Linked DNA regions of Alligator mississippiensis. The protein of the gene in region 2 interacts with the protein of the main gene of each other region in a pairwise test. Links are inferred from orthologs where the notes say so. Each region holds a gene or a part of one and is shown on either strand. Other genes may lie near its edges.

The links.
Region 1: the proteins of MOCOS (region 2) and PARVA interact in binary tests that used the Homo sapiens proteins (3 or more experiments, as listed by UniProt). The two-hybrid records come from large-scale screens. The link is inferred for Alligator mississippiensis from reciprocal best matches to the Homo sapiens genes MOCOS and PARVA.

What each region holds. Positions count from the first base shown.
Region 1 is NC_081825.1:201,150,617-201,159,055, reverse strand, and holds the start of PARVA (alpha-parvin), read right to left. Parts: upstream 3,927-8,439; 5' UTR 3,833-3,926; coding exon 3,697-3,832; intron 1-3,696. UniProt on the Homo sapiens protein: Plays a role in sarcomere organization and in smooth muscle cell contraction. Required for normal development of the embryonic cardiovascular system, and for normal septation of the heart outflow tract.
Region 2 is NC_081828.1:78,062,717-78,071,545, forward strand, and holds the start of MOCOS (molybdenum cofactor sulfurase), read right to left. Parts: upstream 3,606-8,829; 5' UTR 3,591-3,605; coding exon 3,464-3,590; intron 1-3,463. UniProt on the Homo sapiens protein: Sulfurates the molybdenum cofactor. Sulfation of molybdenum is essential for xanthine dehydrogenase (XDH) and aldehyde oxidase (ADO) enzymes in which molybdenum cofactor is liganded by 1 oxygen and 1 sulfur atom in active form.

The DNA.
Region 1 (8,439 bases), on a different chromosome or scaffold from region 2:
CAGGCCAAATAAGTTGTGCAGGGCCAGTTCATGGGCCAGACCAGGTTGGCACACAGGATCAATTTGTGGAAGGATCATGCCCACAGAATGATCCTGTATGCAAGATCCAGGCATGGACTGACGCTGTGCACCAGCCTGATCCAGCACGTGGGGCCATATCATCTGGCCTGAGGCTCCCCAGTCATAGCAGGGCAGCTGGGCAAGGAGCACCACTGGCTGCTGCCATGCCAATCGTGACAGTGAAGTCACCTGTCACTGTGGCAGTGGCTATTTTTCTGTCCCCTCAAAGGCAGAGTTTGGGATTGCTGTTTCCCCCTGCTCCCTAAAGTGATGCTACTGGAACTCCCCACAGCTAGATGACAGCTCCTTGTACTGGATCCAGCCTGTGGGCCATAGGTTGAGCACCACTGATGGAGGTATAACACCACAGCTAGGCTCCTGGGGCAGTTGCAACACATGGGGACAGCAGCAACTTCTGGCTGCTGTTGTGCTTCCAATGCAATGATATGGCTGTGGTGGCACTGTTTTTTTTCTGTTCCACTCCCCTTCACCCCCCTCAAGTCAGCACCTGGGATAGCTGCCCTGGTTGCCACACTCTAGTTATGCTACCGACCTGTGTATGGACCCATGTAATACTTATTTAAAACAGTTTAAATGTAGTTTAAACCTGAAACAGACATTTAAAGCTGCCTGGAATGGCTCAGAAGTGTACCTGGAAAATCAGTGCACCATGTGTTAGTACACTTGTGAACCAGGTGCATCCCATATTACATAATTCCTTACTTCCCTCCCTCCCCCCCCCACTGCAACCGGTCACTCAGCAGCCAGAACTCTACGGTTCCTTTATTTTTCCTTTTGTTGGCACTTCTTATCAATAATCTCCCTTGCACTATTTGTTAAATAAACAGCTTAGTGCGTCCTTACTCCCTGTTTGACTGCAGCCCATCATTATGCCCTTCAAGCCCCTGGGAATGCTAAACATGGGTCCAAGCATTTCCCTCATTCTACCTGGAATGCTAGGGAACTATAGATGCAGACTTCTGAGCAGCAACAATGGTGAACCAGTTCCCAGTTGATAACATTTAGGTATGGTTCAGTTGTTACATCTGCTACTCCAGGGAAGTTTGTCAACTTTCTGAACAAAAGCAGGGTATAAATTACATTGGTATACAAAACTGATGTACATCACGCAACAAAAACCTGTTGTGGGTCCACACCTGCAGCTTAGTGAGAAGACACACTGATGCCACTCACATACATAAAAATAAATTACTTTCTTCAAACCAGATGTTTAACTTTGATGACAACAGAAGCAGCTTGACCACATCTTTGCCATTCTAAGCAATATAACCCACAAATAGTAAATGCCGTATCTTTCAAGTTTGCTGGTACAAGTGTTTAGAAGTAAACAGCTCAATTTCTAACTTCAAGGACACTGATGAAATCTCTTTTACACTCACAATGTTTCGAAAATTTAATGTTTGAACTGAGGGCAAACTCCAGTTCTCAGTCTCGCTTGATTTTAACTAGGCAACAGATTCAGGCATACAATGCTTGTATAATTTTGAACAAGGCTGCTTTATCAAAGTGGGGATAAATATTAGTGAAAATTATCAGCAAAAATATTGGTAAAAAAAGACTACTGTGTACTTGGAATTTGCGCGTCCCTTTGCATAACGACAGTGGTATTCAACTTACTGGCAAAGTTAATTCACAGAGGAGCAGACCTTTCAAGAAGGAAGAACATTACATTCAACAACTGAATCAGATTTTTTTTATATTCAGCCTTTATTAACTGCTCAAGGCTTAGATGCTACATCAACCTCTCCAATCAACCCACCTATGTACTAGGTGTTGCAAAAACTTGCCTGGACAGGATAAGCAGAGGACACAATACCTTGAGCTTTGAAACTTGTTGGGTTTTTTTAAATTAATGCCATAATCTCTTTTTAAAAAATACCCGGGTCATATTCGCACATATTGCAGATCAAGGTACGCGTGCTCCAAGCTCCCTTTTGTATTCACATGTTCCAGCAGGAACTCTGCAGGGCTGGGTCCCATACACCAAGTTAGAGCCTGACAACTGATTCATCTTAAACCAAACATAAGCCCTACACGAATTAACTCACATTCCCCACAAGAATTAACCTGCCAATGCCCATACTGATTCCTAGCATGGAAGGACCAATATGACAACTCGAGCAAATACAGAAATGATGGGGTACATGGCTTTAACGTGCCTGGACAGACCTGCAGATAAGTGATTCTCTTGTGACAGTTAAACCATTTCACACTAGCACAGTAATATCAGGGATCTGCTTGGGTGCTTTATATGAAGCACTTCAGGTCTTTCAGCAAATTGCTGTGAAGACTTCAACAGAGGCCCCCTTCATTCAGTATTACACCCCCCCAGCTCTGGTCCTATAGTCCAAGAAAACAATCGAGCCTAGTGCAAGAGTGATATTGTAGCCATGATGGTTCAGAAATTATGCGAGGCAAGGATTTCTTTGGGCGGTATCTTTTATTGGACCAACTCTGTAGGTGGAATATAGTTAGACAAGCTTTCAAATACAAGACATTCTTCCTCAGGGACCTAAAGAAAGTCCCCAAGCAGATGCTTGATATGGAGCAGTATTACCTTGCTAGTGTGAAATGAACTTCACCTGGTTTAACTATCCCAGGAGAATCACTTACCTGCAGGTCTGTCCAGGCACCTGTTACAGCCGTCTGCCCCATAATTTCCCCATCTACTCTAGTTGTCAGGTGGGTCCTTCCATGGTAGGAATCAGCATGGGCATTGGCAAGTTGTCCCTGAACCACTCCCAGTCTCTCATGTGGTTTCATTGCTGTGTGGAAAATGTTTGGTTTAAGATTGTGATTCCCAGCCTCGGGTCACGACCCAAATAAGGGTTGTGGGGGCAGTGGCGGGGGTGCCTCACACAGAGGATGAGCCACACCTAGTGCCAGGAGCTCCCCTGTCCCCACCCTTGGGCTGCCGCCACCACGCTCTGCTCCCAGCAGCGGGTTACTGCAAAAAAAAGGTTGGGAACCGCTGATTGAAGACGATGCAGTTACCAAGCTCTCACTCTGCGTCAGGGTCCCAGCCCTGCCCAAATCCATCAGGAAGAGGTGACTGCAACGGGAAGCTTGCAGCACTGCAGGGCACCTTGACCTGAGGAAGAGCGTCTGACACCGGAAAACTTGTCTAACTTTAACCCAACTCCACGGCGGGTCCAATAAAAGATCTCACACCAAGAAACCCTTGCCTCCCCCCCTTAACCCTTTCATCACCATCTGCCCCTCTTCTGCCAAGCACCCCTCCCCCACTGTCCCGGAGAGAACCGCGGTTCTAGAACGCCTGGCGGCCCCGCCCCACCCCGCCCCGCCCCGCCGCACGCCCACGTGCTGCTCCGAGGAGCGCCCTGGGCCGCGGTGGGCGCCCTGCCTGCAGGCCGCGCGGGGTGGGGGGTGGAGCCTCCTCGCCCCTGCCCCTGCCCCTGCCCCTGCCCCGGTCGTGGCGATGCGCCTTGCCACGCCCGCCGGAGGGCCCGCAGGCAGCCGCCGAGGAGCCCGCGCGCCCCAGCATTTTTGTGGCGTGACGCGGGGCAACCCGCAGCCCCGCGCCCCGGGGGGCTGCGGGTCACAGCCCGGCGGGGCTGTGCCCCGCCGCCTGTTTTGTTTTTTTGGTTTTTTTACCTTCCTTGGCTTTTTTCCTCCTGGCCAAAGTGCCTCCGAGTTTGCCCAAGAAGGAGTCATCTTTCTTGCGAGAAGGAGGAGACTTGGGCGTGGGGGACTTGGGCGCCGAGGGCGACTTCTGAGGGGACGTTGCCATGAGCGGGGCGCGGGGCGAAACAGCCCGGTCCAGCGCCCGACGTGAGGGGAGGTAGGCCGGGCGCCCAGATGTAGCGAGCGGCTGGCTGCCCTGCTCCAAACGGAAGCGGAATTATTTCAAGCATTTGAGGCAGCTCCTGCTCTCCCTCCTTCCTTCCCTCCCTCCCGCCCGCCCGCCGCCGCCCGGCCACGGAAGGCCGCTGTCGCCGCCGCGCGCGCTGCTCTCTCCGCACCTGCCCCGCAGCCCCTGTCGCCCCCGCTGCCGGGCTGGGCTGGGCGTTAGGCCGGGATTGCTTGTGCCACAGGCGGCTGTCTGGCGCTGGAAGGAGATCTTCGCAGTCCCGAAACAAGATCCCGGATCCTGCCTGATCTACTGCCCCTCTGATCCAGGCAGAAGCCACCCCCAGCCCCCCTGGCCTGTGCTTCTTCGGGCCCTGCCTCAAATTAAACCTGGACTAAAGAGCTGCTCTGTGTTTTCAAGCCTTGATTTTACTGTGGGTTGGCTCTTTCTATAGCTGGACCGTCATTTTTACCCTGCAATTGTTATTTTGCACAGCGCAGTTTGTCACCTTTGATCTCATGAGCCTGGCCCACCAAGTTTCTTACTGGCCTCCCTTGGGCAGCCAGGCTACAGGAAAAGGTGCTGACAGGCTTGGGACAAATCATAATTAAAGAAACGGGGATTGGCATGCTGGTCACAGGTTCAAAAGAAGAGTGCCAAGGGCGCAACACAGAGCAGAGCACACTGGACCAGCCCTCAAGCGAGTCCAAGGAGCCAGCGGACACTGCCCAGTCCACAAATGACTGGTCTAAATTGGCGGCACGATTAACCAGTTACTTGTGGGGTCAGTACTTTGCACTTGTGGCCCATCTTACTTCGCGTGTGCGGCTAGTTTGAATTTATGCCATGATTAAGTAGTGGATTTCACAATATATGTAATGGGTAGGAGGGGCCTTTGTGAAGCTTTTGACCCGTTACAAATAAGAAAGCAACCATGTTCCTCATAACTTAGAGGGGGCTAGGCATTTGTTTCCTAGTGGATCAGACAGTAGTACCACTGGCTTTATAATATGCTGAGGTATACGGTGGTTGGGACAGCAGTGGCAGACTTTCACACCTGGCAGACTTTCAGTAGTCTTGGAATAGAATTTTCTAATAGAAATAGATTACATATAGGGTGTGCAACCCCCTTAGTATCCTCTTTTTACCTAAGTTGTCCAAAGCTGGGCCTAGGCCATAGGTCAGTGACCACTGTAGTGAGGGAAGGTGTAAATAAGCATAAGCGCTGACTTTGGTTTTTGCCGTGGGTGGTTTGGTTTTTTTTGCATTCCCACACCGAGCCCTGCGCACGCCTAGAAGAGACAGCACGTTACAGGCATTGGGCGAGCTGGGTTGAGGTAAAGATCAGGTGCTTATTGGGGCTTTTTGGGGGCTTTTATCTAATAGCTTATTGAATAAGCTTTAGCTAAAATTGCCTAAAAGCCCCGCTGAAGCACCCAATCTTTACAGACACTGCAGAGCCAGGTTGAAGTAATGCACTGCTTCTTCCAGTAAAGTGCAGTTTGGTTGGGTTTTTTAACATCCACAAGCAGCCACAGAGATCTAACATGTAAAACCAAAACAGCTGTGTGGGGCTTGTGGGTGCTGAGAACCTGCCAGTTTTTTTTGATGGGTGCTTGAGCCCCAGAGCACCCATGGAGTCAGCGCCTATATAAAGAAGCACCTGCTTTTCCAGTCCGCATATATAGGGACAAGGTAAAATTGCGGCCCTGTGGTCTTGGCATTGCTAGTAACTTATTTACATTACAAAAGCCATCGGGCTTCTTTGATTTACAGTGGGGACTGGACCAGCATCAAGATTGGCTCAAGATAGATAAAGGCAGCTAAAAGCCAACTGCCCTGGCTCTACATCCCCTCCCACTCCGCACAACTCCAAGCTTCCCAATCCTGCAAGTGCTCTTCAGTCACAATTGAAGATTCTGTTTTATCCCATTTATATTTGTATGCTGCATCCCTTGCTATAGGTTCTGGGCCACAAACTAAAGCCCCAATCTTTCATCCCCATAGAGATACTGAACTTTGCACGTGGGATTAACCTAAATCAATAGAACTACTTGGGTACCAAAACTGAAGCACATGCATACACGTTTGTGGGAACGAAGCTCAGATTAGGAAATTGTGAAACGAATTCTGTCAGTTCGATGAATTTTTCCAGCGTATATGACCAAGGAAGAAGGCAAAGAACACTAAGAGGATACCATCGACTTTTCTTCAGGTTAACATTTAGGTTTCCAAATGTAATCTCAGATAAGCAAAATTCCATCTACCACCACATTTCTGTAGCACCCATCAACATATATGTATATGTGATTACTTTGTAATCGTATGAGAATGACAAGATGGCAATGTACGGGTTAGTAGGAAAGAAAAGAAAAAAAAAAACCTTAGTGACAGGACAAACTTACATGAAAAATGAAACATGTTCCTGGTGAGGAACAACATCGTTTTCCAGTTCTCCTATTAGATTTGCAAACAAGTAGCTTAGAAGAAAAGTATGTCAGAGGCACACAATTTACCATGATTGACAGTTGATTCAGGAGAGGCCCAGGACTGGAACAGCATTAATGTCTTACGGATGTGCTACTTTCACTTACCGTTTAATCACTCGATTAACAATTTAAGCAAAAAGCCACACACACTTCATGCAAATATCTGGCTATCCATTAGGCATAGTAAGTGAAATGAAATTACCATGAGGATATTTCTAAATCAGTTAATAATTGTTGTGTTTTTACAAATCAGTAACAGGTATCTGATGAGAGGGAGGCATCAACAAATATTTACTGTACGTTGTTTGTACATGCTCTAGAGACTAACATTAATCAACCATACAGTGCCATTCTTTTAACAGAAAAGTGGACTAGAAGGCTGGTAGAATACCACATTTCTTTATATTTGCTCTCGCTGCATTTGTCATTTTGAACAGTTACTTGCATGGTCTACAGTTTCACATGCTACTAAATAAACTCTGTATATTTACAAGTTTTATTTATTTACACACTGTTTGGATCAGGTCACCAGCTGCTTTGAACAGATTTTTTTTTTTTAGGAATATAGAAACTTTTTTAAAGGAAGGAGAAACAAATGTCATATCTACCTATTGTATATGCATGCAACTGTGCCATAGGCATTTACAAGTAGAATAGTTTTGTGAAAAGGGATCCATTTATGCCAGGGGCAGGCAATTATTTTGGGTAGAGGGCTGCTTACTGAGTTTTGGCAAGCCATCGAGGGCCACATGACAGGCAGCCCAGGGCAGATAAATATTAATTTTCTAAATTTTTTAGGGGCCCCACGGGCCAGATAGAATGGACTGGTGGGTCACATCTGGCCCCCGGCTGCATTTTGCCCACCCCTGATTTATGCTCACCTGGCTGCATCTGGATGTAAACATAGGATTTTATAAAGATACCAGAGGTGGGATGAGGAGCAAAATTTGGCAAATGCAGGTCACCAGATTCTGTGGCACCCACCGAGGCAGATTTTGCATCCTGCAGTGGATTCTGAAGCGCACATCCCCACAGTAAAGGATATCTTAATGTTTATAAGAAGCCACGCTATAATTGCATACACTCCCAGCTTTTATTGACGTAAATTATTAACCATAAATACAATTACAATAATATGGTGTGGGGTTGTTTTTTTCCCTACAGGTACACACACATTTTTCAGGGGTAGTCATTCATACCACTGTTTTATTGATTTAACCACAGTGTCATATCACTCAGAGTGATTCATGTTAGAATTGCATAAGATGACAACAAAGAAAGATTTTGTCTGAGATGCTTTCCAAAGTAACTCAGAGGGGTAGAATACGTTATATACCTACCATGGTATAGAGCCAATAAGAAAGAGAACTGATGCAGCAGAACTAATAAGACAACCTATAACCTGAAATTATTGATTCATGAGAAAGATCAGCTCTGATGTTACATATGGTTTTTGCTGCTTTCCTGCATTTGTTCAATTGAATTGTCAAACTGTTGAGATGGACTGAGGTCATGCAGTAAATTAGTGACTGATCTTAGATTAGAACTCGGAATCTTTTTTCTAACTAAAATTTTGATTCAAATGTCTTTGGATCAAATACTCTTCTGATTCTTAAGGGTAAGATTGTCAAAAACACTTAGTTTTGGCCTGCAACTGTTCCCTTCCTAACAGTAAACTGGTTGCTGGTTGTGCAATACACTGTGGTAGTGATATGGTCATTGCAAACTTTCACTGTGGTGTTCAGGAAATTAATTGGCTGGGTACAGTATTCCAGACTCAGTTTGATGGACAGATGGAAGTTAAAGTCTTGGTGCAATTTCTCTAAAAATGCCTTCCAGTGTGCCCATATGATAAAGATATCAATGCACCTTAAGTTTTCCAAGGTATACGGGGCCGAGGGGAGCACAGGTGCAGAAGAAGCGAACTTTAAGGTCTGTCATAACCAAGGATCAAGGTTTTCTGTTTCTTGTAGAAACACATGGACTTACCTCTTTAAAAGAGAAAAACACAGATTTTCCACTTTTAAGTGAGAAAACATGGGTTTCCCCTTTTGGAAA
Region 2 (8,829 bases):
AAAACACATTCCGACTGCAAATTTCACAACTGTATCTGAAGTGATAAATCAACTGAACCATCTGTAACCCTTGTATTTAATACTTAGGGAAAAAAGATACCTGTTCTTCTCAACTTAAACCTCACTGCTGGAGTTTTAGAAAACTGCCTATCTAGGCCAAGATTTTCTTAAATATAGGTGGAAAGTTTGGTTCCTAATTCCTGATTAGGACTACAAAATTTGGTTCCTAATTCCTGATTTATGCTCCACTTCTGCAATGAACTCCGCACGTGTATAGAAGTTCATGTATACAGTGCTTATTAAAATATCAGCAGCCTAAACATGTGGCTTGACTGTCAAATATTGAAGTTTAAGGGAACCACTGAGTTTTTGGTTTTGTAAGAAGTGAGTCACAGGCAGTCTAGAGGAGCAAGGGGGTTGACAAGTACTGTACTTGCATCAGAGGCTAATCCAAACGAGGGACCAAGGCTGCTCAAGAGAGTCAAAGCCAGAGTCCAAGCCAAAATCCTAGCCAGAAAGTAAAATCCATATCCATGGTCAAGCTAGTACCAGAAGTCAGGAGCCAAAGAATCCAAAACAGGAGCACAGGAACAGGCTGAGTGTGGATAAGGACCCAGGGCTGGACCCAATGATCTTGCAAGGTCTCTTCCAGCCTCTTACAATCTATGAATCTATGAAAAGTACAGCTACTACAGATTGTAAAGTACTTGTTCCATAGTGCTTTTGGGCATACTAGGTCCAACCTACTCTGCAGTCAGTGAGCTTGTCCCATTCACCTGGTGGCATTCGGAAATCAGGCAGCCCTAAGGATGTAAATTGTCTTCCAACAGGTTTTTTGATAAAAGCAGGCTATTTTTTCAAACATCAGAATAAGAGATTTAGGACCCTGTTCTAAGATCCAGTGCAGTTTTTCAAAACCTTGGTACAAGTGTATTTGTCACACAAAGACCTGATGATACCAAGCTTTTACCAATATTCCAACTGATTCAATCTTCAAAATAGTTTTAGAAACCTTCTCTTTTCCAAAATTACCCCTTTTGCTTTTTCACTCTCCTTCATTTTATTCTTGGAGGCCAATTTTATCATTCAGCATCACTAACAGTAGCAACAACAATAATAATATACTAATAAATACAACAAAATAGAATAAATAGTAGTCATTTCCTTTGTAAATCCTACCTGGCAAAAGCTTTCAGAGTGCTGGACCAGAATCACAAAAACAATTTCTCCTTTATTAAAAACAGCCTTGTGAACTGAAGGCAGATCTTGATCAGCAACGTACAACTTATTTTCAGAGACATGATGAAAAGGAGTGAGAAGGTGAAAACTCTGCTGGTGGAAAGAGTACACTGACTTGATAACACATATGGGATTGGATGTGAGCTGATATTACATTCTGATAATCCCAGTGCCATTGTACTTTTCGGAAAAAATGCTGGTGCCATAATACCGTGGGCAAGCATAGCCTTATTAGCAAAAGAAGATAACTTTCTTATGCCCTTTATTCTTACTGCTCATCACACTGGGCCAGAGGTATAGGAAAGCGAGATTTGATTATGAAACTGGAAAAAAACCTGTCTACCCAACTATTGTGTCCCCTTCTATTTCACAGGCTCAAGTTACAACAAGGGGAGTTTAGGTTAGATCTTGGGGAAAACTCTGAGGGTCGTACAACACTGGAACAGGCTACCCAGAGAGGTTGTGGAATCTCCCTCCTGAAAGGTTTTTAAGACCCTGCTAGACAATGGAATGATGTAGATGGGGATGGTCCTGCTTGGAGCAGGGGGTTGGACTTGATTCTTTCCCAAGGTCCCTTCCAGCCCTTTCTATGCTTCTATTTTCCTGCCTAATGAAGGGGAAATTCTTGCTGTTTGCTCATTGTGTGTGGTTCCCCCCACTCCCCTCCTGCATCCTTTTACAGCAAAAAAACCACATGTAACCCCACCAGCACCAAAAAGCCCCTTGCCACATTTTTTAAAATGAAATCTTCATATTTTCCCAAGCAGGAAGCAACTGTGACCACCTGAAACCCGAGATCCTGCTCCTGCTTTCATTTCAAGGTAATTTGCATCATCACAGATCCTCACAGGACGTGAGAGGCTTCATATGGGTATGAACTGACTGCCCAGAGGAGTTTTCCATCTATGGACTCCTCTGTGAAATCCTACGAAGTATGAACTGTCATTTCTACCCAGGAGAACTTTTACAGTCTTTTCTCTAATGCCTGATGAAGGGTGTTTGTGCCCAAAAACTTGCAATTAAAGGCTTTTTCTTTTTTTTTTTTGCAAAAATCTTGTTGGTGTAATAAAAGAGATTACTTCTACTATGAGTCCTGACTGCCTTTTCCTCTAGACCAATACAGCTACAACTTGGATACCTGATACATGGAGGATATCGAATTTTAGCCAGTTTTTTTAATGAAATCTTGACATTTTCACAGGAAGCAACTGTGACCACCTGAACCCTGAGATCCAAGTCCTGCCTTTGTTTCAAGGTAATTTGCAGCATCACAGACATTCACAGGAGGCGAGAGGCTCCATGCCAGCTATGAACTGCCTGCCCAGAGGAGTTTTCCATCTACAGGGGAAACACCATGTAGCTGGGTCCAAGAAGGCAGCTCTCCTTAAGTGTTCCCGGGGATAACTGTTCTTCTGGTGTGGTTTAGTGTTGGGGCTTAAAGCCTACTTTATGGAAATGGGAGTCTCCTCCCTAGCTTGCTTCTGCGGCCGTATGGCTGAGGGCAGGCGAAACTTGGGGGCACCCGAACCTCAAGCCTCCGGGCTTGGGCCTACATATCGGATCCCCACCAAAAGACTTTGGAAATATCTGAAGCCCCGAGTGGGGGTGGAGTATGTTTTCCGGTTGTTGGGTCACTTATGGTTCTGGACTGACTCACGGATTTGGACTTGATTTGGCTTGGACGACGAATCATTTCTTTAAAAGAAATAAAATAAAAATGTATCCACTCCTCTGTGAAATCCTAGCAAATATGAACTTTCCTTTCTGCCCAGGAGAACTTTTACAAGGTTGTCTCCGACGCCCGATGTTTGTGCCCGAAAGCTTGCAATCCAAAAATTTTTTTTTTTATTTTTTTTTTTTTTAAAACCTGTTGGTCTAATAAGAGAGCATCTCTAGGACGAGTCCCGATTGCCTTTTCCTCTAGACCACAAAGCCTCTTGAAACACTTCCCTGACACCCCCTCCCACAGGCTCCTGCCAAGAATGGAAAGGGCTCTCAGCTTCCACCCCCTAAAAGGGGTCTGAGAAGGGAAAGCCCACGACTCCTGCCCTGCTCCCCCCGCGACACTGAGTTTCTTCCCCTTTCCCTCCCTGCTGCCAGGGGGGACAGGCAGAGGCAGAGCAGGTGCCCGGGCTGAAGGGTGGCGCGGCGCCCGTCCCGCCTGAGCGCGCTGCAGAGGGGAGCTGAGGCCCGCCCGCCCGGCCGCCTCCCCGCGCGGCGCTACCTCGGAGCCGGCGGAAGTCCCGCTGCCAGCTGTCCCGCGCGCCGTAGCGGGCCCCCAGCGGGCTCCTGCTCTGGAAGGCCTGGAAGGACAGCAGCTCTTCCCCCGGCCCCCGCCCGCTCCCGGCCATGCTGCCCCACTTGCCCGGCCCGGCCCGGCCCGAGTGGCTCCTCCCGGCTCCTTCCCCCGCCCCGCACGGCGCAAGCCCTGCCCCGTCCGGGACACCAAGGCTCGCGGGCAGCCGCGCGCGTTCCTGTGTGTGTCCGCTCTGCGGAGGACGCGCGCTAAACGGGCGCCGGGGCCCGGCCCAGGGCTGCTCGTGCTGCTCCTTGCCCAACTAAACCGGCCCCCGAAGCCGCCAAGCTGTTGAAGTGGCTTCTTGGAGTGAGTGATTTTCAAATCTTACAGGAGGGCTCTCTCTTATGAGGGGCTGAGCTCCCCTGTAACCCTGCCCACCTCTGCCCTGCAAACCTCTTCTCTGACTCCTAGTTGCTCAAGGCAATTTCTCTCACTTTCAGTGCTCTGCCCCGGGGACTTGCTCTTCAGCCCTGGAATGCATGTAGGGATGCGTGTTTTCACCGCAAAGGATGTTGTCTTGGGCATCCTAGATGAGGTGAAGAGTGAAGGTGATAGAGCCTGGGTAGTTGTAAGGGTAGAAGCAGATGCCTGGGGATGGGAGAGAAGCTGTCACACTCCCGGGCTTAGCTTTAGTACGGTTTTTGCAGGGCAAGTTGTATAGCTACTCTAATAAAACAACAGGACCAGTATCAGTAGCAGTAATAATATGCATTACTAATAATAGTAATAATAATGCATAACAACTGCTTCAACCACAGAAACTACAGGTTTCCCTCACCAACTGCTGGGGTTAGGTTCCTGAAAGTTCCTGTGCCTGGAAAAACCATGGTTGGCAAGACAAAAGGTTTATGGGAAAAATGGCAGGTGGCAGCCTGATGTGCGGCCATGGAAAACTGTGGTTACTCAAAGCTGTATACCATGGTAGCCAACACGGTATATAGAATATTAAGCGTGGATACTCAGTACTGTGGTTGGGAAAACCGTGGTTGGCAAGGGAAACCTATATTCACTTTTTAGAGTTTGGTAATGCTTATGCAGGCTCGAGTATATCATTTTACCAGACCTGGCTGTTCTCAGATTACCATCTGGCTCTGCAATGCATTCCACTTGGTATGGCACAATTCCTCCATCTCCCCACCCCACTTAATTTCTTTGGGCCTGGTTTACATGAACATAACAAACAAAACAGAAACAATTCACCTAAGTTCTACCTGTGCTCAGCAGGATTTTCCTATCAGTCCTTTCTTCCAGGCTTGCAAGCTTAGTTTTCCAATGTCTTGGAGCACTGGTGCTAGGTTTCCAGAAGCCATACTCTTGTCTTGCTTTCTTGACAGTCAGTAAACAAACTGATGACTTGCTTATTAAGTCACTTAACAAAAATATCATGTGTTTCTTACAAGTATATAAATGAACTACTACGTAGCTGTTGGTGCAGACCAAACATGACAATAATAGATCTACTTTGGGGAACTATGCGTGTACGAGGGAATAATGATTCTCCCCCTCCCTCCCCCTTCCCTAACCTAGTGAACCACTGTGGATTTTTGAACCCTGTGACACTCCTCTTATAAAACACTGTTGACAGGCTGGTGTCTTTTGGCCAACTAGCATCTTATTCACTCACCAGCCTGCACTTATAGATCCATCCCATCCTATGTAAGGTTAGGCTATGGTGAAGTGCAGTTGCTGTTCAGGAAAGTTCATGTGCCAAGCACTGCACAGAAAAGTTTTAGCTCTGTAGTATAAAATTTAACTGCCTACCCTCCCTCTGCTAAAAGTGTAGCTACTGACAGGGAAGATTTTAACTAGACCACTGAGTTTATTTTATCTGGGGGAAAAAAAATCTGCACTAGAGAAAATTTTATTTGACAAGAACATCTCTGTTGGCAGCCACTAGCGCACATACCTTCACCTGTAGTGAGTAATAGCTAAAATAACCCTATTTCCCATTTAAAAAACAAGTATACAGGTCACACTGGCTCGTCCCAGAACTTTCAGTGAGATTTATAGTCGTAAATACACCTATAGTACACCGGCTAAGATGCTTTGATATTTTACTTCACTGGTCAACAAAGGAGGGTCAGATTGCCAGGAAAACTATTCAGTCAATGTCTATTTTATGAAGCATTTACAAAGAGAAATGAAGCAACATTTAAAATTGTAGGCATGGCATTTAAAATTAAATTCACAGCAATTGCACCCCTACTTTTAGAAAATTACCAGAGTTTCGCTCTATTTTAGCATATTTTAAAACACAGCCATGGCTACAGTGTTGCTCCCAGATGCCATCCTAATACAATAAATGTCTGTGTATTTGCATGAAGGTTCAATTTTACATATAGGTGCATGACTATGACTAAATAAATGTATAGCATTCTGTGTTCTTTCTTAGGCTTCTGTGTCCCATCCCAGGGCTCAATTTCCATCAAAAGCAGGGTTTGGGATATCTCTGTGCCCATTCCAGCACTGTAAGACAGCATCCCCTGAATCATTTTTGTTTCACTATCACCTACAAATTCTGGTCTCCACTCCACCTCCCCCAACCTCCCAGACTTACACTTTCCATAAACTCAGCAATCACAATTCCAAAACAATACTCAAAGAGATCAATCTATGTTACAGAAACAGAAATATGGGTATGTTTACATCAATTAAATTGTACACGTCTAGGTCTCAAAAATCTGTAAAGGTCATCAGAATCATACACAGGGAAAGGCATATTTATGGTGTTTACAGAAACATTCCCAGTGAAAGAACTGATTGAAACCTTTTTATTTTTCCTCTTGACAGAAAACTATTTTATATGTAATAGAAGCTTTAGAGGAAAAAGTTGTTTACCTGTAAACCTACAAACTTTCTGTTTAAGTCAAGGACATTTTCATTTACATTGTTCACAGGGAAAAATTCTTGATTAACTCTAGTAAAACACTGAAGATGTGTACTGTTGCCAGCATAGTTATGTAACTTTATATTGCCCAGAAGTCCTGATAAACTGCATCAGCCTATTCGCATATCAGTTTGCATGTTAGGCTATAAATATCACTTGGAATAAACTATACCTATAAAGTCAGTGCTACAGTAATGTAAATACAAGAAATGAGACACAGGGCGCATCTACATGAGATGCTTTACTGCATAACAGATTAATCTAGTTGTCAGTACAGCATTACCATTTACATGTGCATGGCATTTATGGCACAGTAAATTAGTCTATTATGCAGTTAGCTAGTACCTGTAAACATCAGCAGGAGACCACAAGAGACTGGGGAGTTCTCTGTCCCTGGTCCTGGTCCTGCTCAGCTCCCGGCTCTGCCCAGGAGGGATGGGGATGGGGTCACTCTCTGTCTCGGTCTCATCCCAGCACTACTGGCAAGCCGCCTGATGGGCAAGTAATCCCCACCCAGCAGGGGGCTCACTAGCAGCTCCCCCAGAATCAGGACAGCTCCTGGTGAAATCCCTGCTGGGCAGGGAAGCCCCTCTGGGCACAGGTCTTACTGGCAGCTGTGTGTCCTAATGCTCAGAGGGCTGGGAGAGCTCTGCCAACTATAGTGGCAGCTGTCTCCAGGCCCCAAGCACATCAGGACCCCTCCCAATGTGCATGGGGCAAGGAGGCAGCTGCCAATGCAGACGGCAGGGATTTCCTGGCCCCAGCCACGTCAGAGCCTGGATGCTGCGGCGAGGCAGGGCAGGGCAGGAGCAGTCCTGTACTAGGCTGCTCCATTGGGAACAGATTTGCTTCAAATAGGGCGCACGCTCCCAGGGAAGGCTTACTGAGCAGTATTTTACTGTTCAGTAAGCCTAGATTGCATTAATAACACAGGTAGACACACCCACAAAGAAGAAAGCAGGATTATGCAGCAGCAGCCACATAACCATTTAAAACCTTTACCTAACTGTGGTAACCATCCCAGACAACTTGGTGGTTGCTCCACAGTGGGCCCCTGTACATGGAACATTTACTGTACAGTTGGCTAATTAGTTGCTCAGTAAATGTCTCAGTATCTACACCTGCACCCCTATTAGAATGGAGTGAACTAATCTGTTCTACAGCAGGATAGTTCTTGTATTGCTGGTGCTTCCTTATGGAGTCAATTCTCACAGCTCAAAAACAGGCCATCCCCATGCAGACAAAAAACAGGAAAGGAGCCAAGAGACCCTCTTGGCTCAACAGGGATATTAGGGAGCTTTTGAAAAAGAAAGAAGAATCATATAAGCTATGGAAGAACAGATCAGCTACCAGAGAGGAATACACTTGTATTACCAGGGCCTGCAGATATGAGACACGGAAAGCTAATGCAGGCATGGAAATCAAGCTGGCAGCTGGCATAAAAGACAACAATAAGTCCTTCCACAGATACATAGGAAGGAACAAAAAATCAGGACCCCCTACTGAATCCTCAGGGACAGCCCACAATCAACACCTGCAAAAAGACAGAACTCCTAAATACATACTTCATGTCAGTATTCCTGAAATCAAACAGGAGCTGTTAACCTGACCAGAGGCCCAGGAAACGTGGGGAAGACAAAAGATTATACGAAATCACTCCTGTGCAGATGAGGGATCTCCTACAACACCTGGATGTTTTCCAGTCTGTTGGGCCAGACAACCTGCACCTGAGAGTCTTGAAAGAACTGGCTGGCAGCACCCTGGCCAAGCAGTTTCAAGAATCATGGAACTCAGGAGTTGTCCTGGATGACTGGAAGAGGGTCAATGTGGTGCCCATCTTTAAGACAGGGAAAAGGGATGACCCAGCAAACTACAGACTGGTCAGCCTGACTTCGGTCCTGGGAACAAGCTTTGAAAAATTTGTTAAGGAGGCCAATCACAGCCTGGTAACTGAAGGGGTGTTACAAAGCAACCAGTACAGCTTTGTTGAGGGTAGATCATGTCTGACTAACCTAATGTCCTTCTATGACTAGGTATCTAGCCATGTGGATGAGGGGCATATGGTTGATGTCATTTACTTAGATTTCAGCAAAGCCTTTGATTCTATTTCCCACGAGATTCCCACAGTCAAACTGGAGGGTACTGGGCTGGACCAGTCTACAGTGAGGTGGGTGGACAACTGGTTTAGAGGCCACTCCCAGAGAGTTGTAATTGATGGGATGGAGAGGCCCATCTCAGTGGTGTCCCCAAGGGATCACTGCTTGGATCTGTGCTCTTTAATATTTTTATTAATGACTTGGATGAGGGGGTGGAAAGCTCCATGATTAAGTTCAAGGATGATACTAAGCTGCAGGGAAATGCAGGCACAACAGAGGATAGGGCAAAGATTCAGGATGACCTTGAC